Linked DNA regions of Callithrix jacchus. The protein of the gene in region 2 binds, or shares a complex with, the protein of the main gene of each other region. Links are inferred from orthologs where the notes say so. Each region holds a gene or a part of one and is shown on either strand. Other genes may lie near its edges.

Region 1 (4,544 bases), on a different chromosome or scaffold from region 2:
CAGTGGAGATGGGATGTGGGTGGGATCACCAGGGGGCTAAGGTCCATTATGAGGCTGGTTATAGCTGAGGGTGAGGAAGGGCTTCTAGTACTAACAAACATTCCAGGTCCCTGAATGGGGAGAATGAAGACCCTGCCAAAGAGATGTGAAGCCACTCAGGGCTATGCAGGGTCTGAGGATCTCACTGCTTCCCAGTGCTCACCTGTCTGCACGAGTCAGAGGGAGCGAGCCACTGTCAGGGTCAGTTACACTGGCTCTCAGGAATGGTCTCCCCGTCTTAGGAAGCACCTTGATGCACCTTCTCTCCTTGCATCCTCACAACCACCCAGTCAGGCCACACAGGTCTTAGAGCAGCTCACACTTCCAAGATCCCAGGTAGAAGGACTGATTTGACTGAGAATTCAAGCCTCCTCAGGCCTGGATCTGAGACGGGAATCAGTCCTTACTTCCTTCCTCACTGCCCAGACACCAAGCCTGGGATGGCAAAGGAAAATTGGAGGCACTTTCTTCCCCTGAGCCATTTTCTCTGCATCCCCTGCCTGTAAGCCTTCACCAGCTTTTGGTCTCCCTTGTGGTTGTTGCAGCTGTTCCTCTCAGTGCCCTCACACCCTCCACTGTGCTCAGCACACTGGGGAAGAGAGAATACACAACCATTAGTTCTTCCTGAGGGCACAGAACTGCCAAGTGGTGGGGCCACTATGGGAACTAGGCAGCCTGCCTTGGTGACCTGTGTTTTCAAATGTTGCTTATGTTCATCTGTGACATCTTACCCTCTCCTGCTCCATTGCTTTAGGCTATGAACTCTCCAAAGTGGAAGGGAAAACAGGGACCCCTGAGAAGCCCCTCTCAGACCTTGGCCTCCTGTCCTATCGAAGTTACTGGTCCCAAACCATCCTGGAGATCCTGATGGGGCTGAAGTCGGAGAGCGGGGAGAGGCCACAGATCACCATCAAGTGAGCCTGGCCCCACCTACCTGGGGGTGCATGGCATGGCCTGTCCCCGGGCTTTCTCACTCTCTCCTGGGGCTCCTGGGGACAGATGAAGGTTCTCAGGGGACCTGACCTTTGCCCTCCCACAGTGAGATCAGTGAAATCACCAGCATCAAGAAGGAGGATGTCATCTCCACTCTGCAGTACCTCAATCTCATCAACTACTACAAGGTAGGGAGGAAGGTAGGGGGAGACAGGTGTGTGGAATGCAGAGTGCAGGCCCCTGTGGGCTGACCACTTGCTGGTCCATTTCCTCTGCCCAGGGCCAGTACATCCTCACACTATCAGAGGACATCGTGGATGGGCATGAGCGGGCCATGCTCAAGCGGCTCCTGCGCATTGACTCCAAGTGTCTGCACTTCACTCCCAAGGACTGGAGCAAGAGGGGGAAGTGGTGACCAGGCACTGCCCACTGCAGTGGCAAGACAACAGCAGGACTGGGGCTGATAGCACGCCCCACCCTGTCCCCACTGCAACTCCCACAAAGCACTCTAAGGGAGTTGGGGCTGAGGACAGCTCCAAGAGGAGGGGACAGGCCTAGCAGGGGCCCACTGGTGCCCAGTACCAAGGCGAGCTCAGGGCTCAGGCCAACTCCAAGGTCAGCTGGCTACAGGCCCAGGCCTGCTCTGAACCAGGGACCAGAGGGAGCCAGGCAGCTGTGTACAGTGAGATGGGGGGTGGGGGAGCTCTGTACAGAGGGCTAGTATTGTAAAAATTTCTTTTGTAAAGTAGAAGTTGGGGGTGGGGTGGGTGCTGGCTGCAAAGGATTCTGGACTTTCTTATTCCCATTGCCCTGGCAATAAATTGTTTCTTTATGCCAGAGCCCTGCAAGGTTCTTGTGGGAAAGGGGCCCATGCTGGCTTAAGGCCTCTAAGGCGCGCAGACTCAGGTGCTGTGAAGAGCTCCTTTATTGGGGTGATGGAATCAGTGGCTCCAAAATGAAGAACTGGTTTACTGCTGTGAAGGAAGGGATCGTGGCTTTCAATTTCAAGCTCTGGTTCTCAGTCCTCGGGCACCTGTGCGTGAATCTGCAACAGGAGTCGCCTCTGCTGTTGGGCTTGTAAGACAGGGCGGCAGGCTGACCCCCACACCCGGGGAACCACCCAGCTGTTCAGAATAACCCCTTCAGGACATGCGGGGAGCCGCGCTTCCCATGCACTACACAGTAGAATCCTCCAGGCTCCGTCTGCCCTACTGTGCTCCTCAGCCCGTGTTCCAAAACTCCACCCAGGGCAAGATCCAGAAAGGGGGCTCCTTGTGTACTCACCGCTGCCGCGAGGCTGGGCCAAGTTAAGGCCCCACGCACTTTGGCATCCGGGCCAGGGATGGTCTCCAGGCCCCACAGGGTGAAGCGGGTGAAGCTGGCAGTGGCTCCGATGAAGCGGTCCTGGGGAAGGGCCGGCTCAGCATCGGGAATGCAGCTCCCGCCCGCACCCGCTTCCTACCCTATCCCTTTTGCTCACGAAGTCCCGCTCCAGCGGCTCCTCTTCTTGGTCGTAAGTCCCAGAATCCCGCGAGGGATCCGGGTTCCCCATCAATCCCTCCTCTTCCGTCACCATTACGTATCCCACGACGCCGGGCGGCACCGCCACCTCCTCGCCCCGCAGACAGCGGCCCCGAAACGAGACTTCGAGTCCTGGAGCAGGAGGCGCAGGGCCTCAGGCAGGGACTCGTGCTAGGCCCTGCGGGGCGAGCCCAGGGCTGCCCTCCCGTCGCCTCCGGGTGGACCTCCACCCTCAAAAGCCCAGACGAAGAAGAGTGCGGGGGCTGCCGGGAGCCGTAGTCCGGCCGCAGCGCTCACCCTCAGGGCCCTGGCAGATGGCGGGCGTGAAGAAGCGCCCCACCGGGGCGGGCCCGTCCATCGCGACCTCGCAGGGCAGCAGGTGCAGTGTGGCGGGGGCGGCGTCGCGCAGCGTGGCGGGGCGCAAGTGGACGCGGTGCCTCTCGATTGGTACCTCGTCGCCGCTCTCCATCCTCGCTCCAAGGCGACGCCGTTGCTCGCGCACTGAGGCCGAAGCTGGCGTGGAAAGCGCGCAGGGCCTCTTGGGAAGCTGCCGCGGAGCCTCACGGGAAGTGTAGTTCCCCCTACCCCCGACGCTTTCCCTGCAAGCCCTGCCTCCCTGGATCTAAGTCCCAGGGTTTCTCCTTTTTTCTTTTCTTTTTTCCTTTCCTTTCCTCTCTCTTCTTTTCCCCCTCTCCCTTCTCCTTCCCTCCCCTCTCTTCCTCTCCTCTCCCCTTCCTCTACTCTGTTTTTTGTTTTTTGACACAGTCTCGATTTGTCTCCCAGGCTGGAGTGCAGTGGTGCGATCTCGGCTCACTGCAATCTCTGCCTCCTGGGTTAAAGGGATTCTCATGCCTCAGCCTCCCAAGTAGCTGGGATTATAGGCACGCGCCACACCAGGCCCTGCTAAATTTTGTATTTTTAGTAGAGACGGGGGTTTCATCATGTTGGCCAGGCTGGTCTCGAACTCCTGACCTCAGGTGATCCGCCTCCCAAAGTGCTGGGATTACAGGCGTGAGCCACCGCGCCTGGCTGGGTATTTTTCTGTTTTTGTTTTTAATGACGCGTAATCATTGTAAAAATCTGAAACGATTCTGAAATGTACTCTTTACATTGGTAGGTATTTTTTTTAGTTTACTAAGAACATCAACCGTTTTCTCAAATACATTGAAAATGTTTTATCTGTGGTCTGTCTAAGGGTGATTTTTGCTGGACAAAGACTTATTTTTGTTGTTGTCGTTTGTCTGGTTTTTTTAGACAAGGTCTCACTCTGTCACCCAGGCTGGAGTACAGTGACAGAGTTTGATTGGCTCACTGCAGCCTCGACCTCCCAGGCTTAATTCATCCTCCCACCTCAGCCTCCCGTATAGCTGAAACCACAGGCCTGTGTCACCTCGCAGCTAATTTTTGTATTTTTGGTAGAAGCGGAGTTTTGCCATGTTGCCCAGGCTGGTCTTGATCTCCTGGACTCAAGTGATTTGCCTGCCTTGGCCTCCCAAATCATGCTGGAATTACAGGTGTAAGCCACCATGCCCAGCACAGAGACTTACTTTTTTGTAGTCAAATTTATCAACATTTTTCATGTCTTTTAGATTTCGCAAACCCTCTCTCTTTGGTTTCTCAACTCTTCTCTAATGTTTATTTGTTCAGATACCCAACTTAGACGTATTTTTCAAGTTCTCACATAAACTTACACAAAACTGGAAATTTAGATTTAAATTGCATTTAATTTATACATTCCTGGACATCTGGGAGCTGGCCTTGGTATTCTGTTGAACATAAACAATTTCAGAGAATATCACCATTGCACAAGGTCACTCTGTGTCCGCAAGGGAGAAAGACAGAAACAGAACCACTCTATCATCACATCTGAACGCTGACAAAGGTGAACACTGTCCAAACCACAAAAGGCACAAAACATCCCTGTTTCTCTCACAAGAAAGTGACTGTTGTTTCCTTACCAAGTACAGCATTGGCCTCCATCTAATCTCCCCTTCTGGGTAAGATTCGTTGATAGTCCATCATAGACATACCCCCATTTCTGACAACATCCA
Region 2 (4,480 bases):
GCAGTGGGCTATGACTGGACCACTGTGTTCCAGCCTGGGCGACAGGGCAAGACCCTGTCTCAAAAAAAAAAAAAAAAAAATTACATCAGATAATCTGTGTTGGAGTGCCTGGCATAGAGGCAGAATCGACTGGATATGCACTTCTTTTATTTGTTAGTATCTTTTATCTTTCTCCCACTCTGGGAGAGGGGATTGGGAGTATGCCCCCTCTACGTGGATCTTTAGCTTTACCTTCTATCTCTAGAAGTCGAGGACTCGATCCTTGGCCCGTGGGGAAATTGGCGGTGTCTCTGCGACCAGGGCAAGCAGGAGCGCAGCCGCGAGGTGCTAAGCACAAGGCCGGGTCCGGTTTTCATGAACCAGGAGAACCTGATCCAGATACGGCCCTGCCGGCAACGGGATTGTCCATCCTGCAAACCCTTCGACTGCGACTGGAGGCTCTGAGCCCAGGTGAGAGAGGGGCCCACGGGCGGCAGGGCCAGGGCAAACCTAAGCCGCGGGACCCAGGGTGGTTGGGGAGGGAGACCTTGCGATGCGGGGCAGGTATGAGGCGAGTTTGGGGAAGGGAGAACTGAAGCTCCAAGACTTGAGTGACTTGAGGTTGATTTGGTTAGGGGGAAGCTGAGTCAGGAGCTGTGAGCCCCGTGGATAGCTAGGGAGGCGGAGGTGGCCGGATCGCTTGAGCCCAGGAGTTTGAAGCCAGCCTGAGCAACATACTGAGACCCTGTCTCTACAAAAAACAGTCGGGCCTGGTGGTGTGTGGTGTGCACCTGTAGTCAAGCTGGGAGACTGAGGTGGGAGGATCGCTTCAGCCCACGAGGTGGAGGTTGCACTGAACCAAGATCGCGCCCCAGCACTCCAGCCTGGGCAACAGAGGAAGATCCTGTCTCAGAAAAACAAAACAGAAAACAAAAGAGACGGAGACAGGTCGAGAGGTGGGGTAGGGGACATTCATCCTAAGTTGGAAGGAGTGAGCTTCCATGGTGGGCAGAGACCCTGAGCAGGAGTCGACTGAGGTCTGGGATCTCCATTGGGGGTGGGGAAGGCTTGGCCTGAATAAGAGGATACGAAGAGGAGACAGATGTTGAAGGGAGTTGGGGTGGGCCTGAGGGAGCAACAAAGGGAGGGAGTTTGGGGACTCCGAATCCTAAAGCCTGAGCCCAGTGGAAGCGGGGCTACCTGGTACAGGGGACTTAGAATGTGTACAGAAAAAGGGACTGCACTCGCGGAATCCAGGTGGGGATTCAGGGATCATCCCCAGTCATGCGGGGACCCGTGTCCTGGGAGTGGAGTGATACTTGACCCTCTAGTTCCTCATTAGGCTGGGTCTTCCAAGCTGCGCCTCAGTATCCCTTTTATTTCCCTCTCTTCCCACTGGCTAATGCAGACGGGGCCCCAGAGACCGTGAAGCAGAGCTTGCAAAGCGACCCAGTCCAACGAATTCGCCACACTTAAAGCGCTCGGCCATAACCCTTCAGGACTACAATTCCCAGGAGGGCGCGCAGCAGCGACGTCGGCGTCGGCTGCGTAAGCGTCCCCGCGGCAGGAGCGTCAGGGGCGTGTTCTGCGCGTGGATTGGTCGGAAACAGACGCCGCCGCAAGGCCCGCGGAAAACGCGCGCTGAGATCGGCTCCTGTGGACTTGGTTCTTGGAGCTGGTGGCGGCGGCCAAGGTGGCATGGATCTCAGCGAGCTAGAGAGAGACAATACGGGCCGCTGTCGCCTGAGTTCCCCTGTGCCTGCGGTGTGCGGCAAGGAACCTTGTGTTGTGGGCGTCGATGAGGCGGGCCGGGGCCCGGTGCTGGGTGCGCCCCTAGGGCCAGGGAGGGGAGGGGCGTGGTAAGCGGGATGCCGGAAACGGGAGTCGGGATTGTACCGCACCTGGGGAGGGGACGTGGTAGTGGTCATAGCTCCCAAAGAAGAAGTGATGATAGAACAGGGATGGGTGGCAACGTTCACGGGCTCAGTGATTGGACCCCGGTTCCCAAAAATTTGACACCCTTCCTTCCCAGGCCCAATGGTCTACGCAATCTGTTATTGTCCCCTGTCCCGCCTGGCAGATCTGGAAGCCCTGAAAGTGGCAGGTGAGCCCGGGGTGTGCGTCTGGGAAGGGATTACTGGGTATGTGTAATCCCACTGGGGGGAACGTGAAAACTGGAGGGGAGGGCAGGAACTGGGAGAAACATTTGTTCCCCTTTTCTTTCCCAGACTCAAAGACCCTATCGGAGAGTGAGCGGGAAAGGCTTTTAGGGAAAATGCAGGAGGACGGGAACTTTGTGGGCTGGGCGCTGGACGTGCTGTCTCCAAACCTCATCTCTACCAGCATGCTTGGGCGGTGAGGGGTCCCCGGGAGGGGCTGTGGGAGAGGGGTCCCCGGGAGGGGCTGTGGGAGAGGGGCAGCCAGCATGGGCTGGCTGGGCTTTGTTCCTAGAATGAGGTTAACTGGGCTCTGTCCCCCACCACAGGGTCAAATACAACCTGAACTCCCTGTCCCATGATACAGCCACTGGGCTTATACAGTATGCATTGGACCAGGGCGTGAACGTCACTCAGGTGAGCTAACTGTTGAGTTGTCTCCATTTGGTCACTTCAGGATAAAATGGGGACAGAACAGGAGTTCAGGGCTGCAGTGGGCCATGATCATGCCACAGCACTCCATCCTGGGTGACAGAGGAAGACCCCCAACTCAAAAGTAAAAATGGAGGCCGGGTGTAGGGGCTCATGCCTATAATCGCAGCACTTTGGGAGGCTGAGGTGGGTGGATCACCTGAGGTCAGGAGTTCGAGACCAGCCTGACCAACATGGTGAAACTCCATTTATAAAAAAAAATACAAAAAATTAGCTCGGAATGGTGGTGGGTGCCTGTAATCCCACATGCTGGGGAGTCTGAGGTGGGAGAATCACTTGAACCTGGGAATTGGAGGTTGCACTGAGCTGAGATCGAGCGAGCCATTGCACTCCAGCCTGGTCAACAGAGCGCAAAATAAAAATTTAAAAAATAAAAAAAAAGCCCGGCGCAGTGGTTCACGACTGTAATCCTCGAACTTTGGGAGGCCGAGGTGGGTGGATCACCTGAGGTCAGGAGTTCAAGACCAGCCTGGCCATCATGGTGAAACCCCATCTTTTTTTTTTTCCTTTTGAGACGGAGTTTTGCTCGTTACCCAGGCTGGAGTGCAATGGCGTGATCTCGGCTCATCGCAACCTCCGCTTCCTGGGTTTAGGCAATTCTCCTGCCTCAGCCTCCCGAGTAGCTGGGATTACAGGCACGCGCCACCATGCCCAGCTAATTTTTTGTATTTTTAGTAGAGACGGGGTTTCACTATGTTGACCAGGATGGTCTCGATCTCTTGACCTCATGATCCACCCGCCTCGGCCTCCCAAAGTGCTGGGATTACAGGCGTGAGCCACCGCACCCGGTCCTAATGAAACCCCATCTAAAAAAAAAGAAGAAGTTGCCTGCCCTTAGATAAAAATAAAAAAATAAAATAAAAATGGGGCAAAACCCTGCAATAGGCAGATTGGGCATCAGATATATCTGGAGTGCCTCAGGCATGTTCATTGCTGCTGTTGATTTCATGCTGCTGTTCCTGGCCTAAATGTGTGGCTCACTCAGGACCACAGTGTAGCCCCTAGTCCCATCTCCATTTAATCTCTCCCTCATCCTAAAGGCTCAGTCTCCACATGTGCCTACCTGCCAACTCTCTCTGTCCTAGCCCAGGACACCCCCCACTCCCTGGACACCTGCTGAGCTTCATCTCTCATCCGCCACCCTCCTATCCCCTCTAGTCTGTTCCCGGTACAGCAACAGAAGGGAGTCTTTTTGAAATGCACATCTCGACATTTAATTCTCCTATCTCAGTGGAAATTAAATCAGGAAAATTCACAGTTGGGGAAAATTACATTAAATTATCAGAGAAAAGCATAAATCAGCATTGCCTTGAGTGCTCTCAGGGAAAGAACAGACCGGTTTTGAGAGAATAATAAGGCAAAATAACCTCAAGGTAGGAACTGTATGCTGAGTGTGGTGGCTCACACCTTTAATCCCAGCACTTTGGGAAGAGCTGAGGTGAGCAAATCCGTTGAGGCCAGGAGTTCCAGACCAGCCTGGGCAACATAGCAAGACCCCATCTCTACAAAAAAGAAAGAAAGGAATTAGAGCAAAGTAGGCCTTGCTAAGGAGGGGCCTGAGGACCAGACCCAAATGCAGAGCTGACCATGCAGTAACTGGGGTAGACAGACAAGGGCCCTGCCCATGGGGTTTCAGGTTTAGCCTGAGCAGAAAGGTGGTCAGCTGGTAAAAAAAAAAAAAAAAAAAAAAAAATTAAGATGGTTTCTGAAAACGGTATCGCCGTGGAGACAGCAGTTTCCCCCAGCAGCTCCAGGATCCTCACTTCTTTGCTGCAGCCATAAGCCCCCATACATGGGTCCAGCATGATGAACCTGGTCCCCACTCAGGGACTTTGTACTGTCTGTTCTCACAC

Evidence for each region.
Region 1: the proteins of RNASEH2A (region 2) and RNASEH2C are in contact, whole or in part, in a crystal structure (PDB 3PUF), measured with the Homo sapiens proteins. The link is inferred for Callithrix jacchus from reciprocal best matches to the Homo sapiens genes RNASEH2A and RNASEH2C. Residues at the interface, in NP_006388.2 of Homo sapiens: Thr11, Asn99, Ser102, Thr103, Leu106, Gly107, Arg108, Val109, Val196, Glu197, Lys198, Leu199, Glu225, Pro226, Val227, Phe228, Gly229, Phe230, Pro231, Gln232, Phe236, Leu245, Ala249, Glu250, Asp251, Val252, Ile253, Trp254, Glu255, Asp256; in NP_115569.2 of Homo sapiens: Pro33, Cys34, Glu35, Val36, Ala37, Val38, Ala42, Pro43, Val44, Gly45, Arg46, Phe47, Phe48, Pro50, Ala51, Arg53, Ser62, Phe63, Arg64, Gly65, Arg66, Cys67, Leu68, Leu134, Glu135, Thr136, Lys143, Gly146, Ala147, Thr149.

What each region holds. Positions count from the first base shown.
Region 1 is NC_133511.1:122,810,950-122,815,493, forward strand, and holds the start of RNASEH2C (ribonuclease H2 subunit C), read right to left. Parts: upstream 3,021-4,544; 5' UTR 2,963-3,020; coding exon 2,791-2,962; intron 2,626-2,790; coding exon 2,453-2,625; intron 2,377-2,452; coding exon 2,257-2,376; intron 2,018-2,256; coding exon of another isoform or gene 1,991-2,017; exon of another isoform or gene 1,388-1,990; coding exon of another isoform or gene 1,253-1,387; exon of another isoform or gene 1,161-1,252; coding exon of another isoform or gene 1,079-1,160; exon of another isoform or gene 954-1,078; coding exon of another isoform or gene 794-953; exon of another isoform or gene 629-793; coding exon 455-628; 3' UTR 133-454; coding exon of another isoform or gene 91-132; 3' UTR 1-90. Other genes in the region: histone acetyltransferase KAT5, read left to right, coding at 794-953, 1,079-1,160, 1,253-1,387.
Region 2 is NC_133523.1:11,630,372-11,634,851, forward strand, and holds the start of RNASEH2A (ribonuclease H2 subunit A), read left to right. Parts: upstream 1-1,587; 5' UTR 1,588-1,677; coding exon 1,678-1,804; exon of another isoform or gene 1,805-1,838; intron 1,839-2,011; coding exon 2,012-2,083; intron 2,084-2,207; coding exon 2,208-2,334; intron 2,335-2,464; coding exon 2,465-2,552; intron 2,553-4,480. Other genes in the region: THSD8 (thrombospondin type-1 domain-containing protein 8), read left to right, coding at 245-444. UniProt on the Homo sapiens protein: Catalytic subunit of RNase HII, an endonuclease that specifically degrades the RNA of RNA:DNA hybrids. Participates in DNA replication, possibly by mediating the removal of lagging-strand Okazaki fragment RNA primers during DNA replication.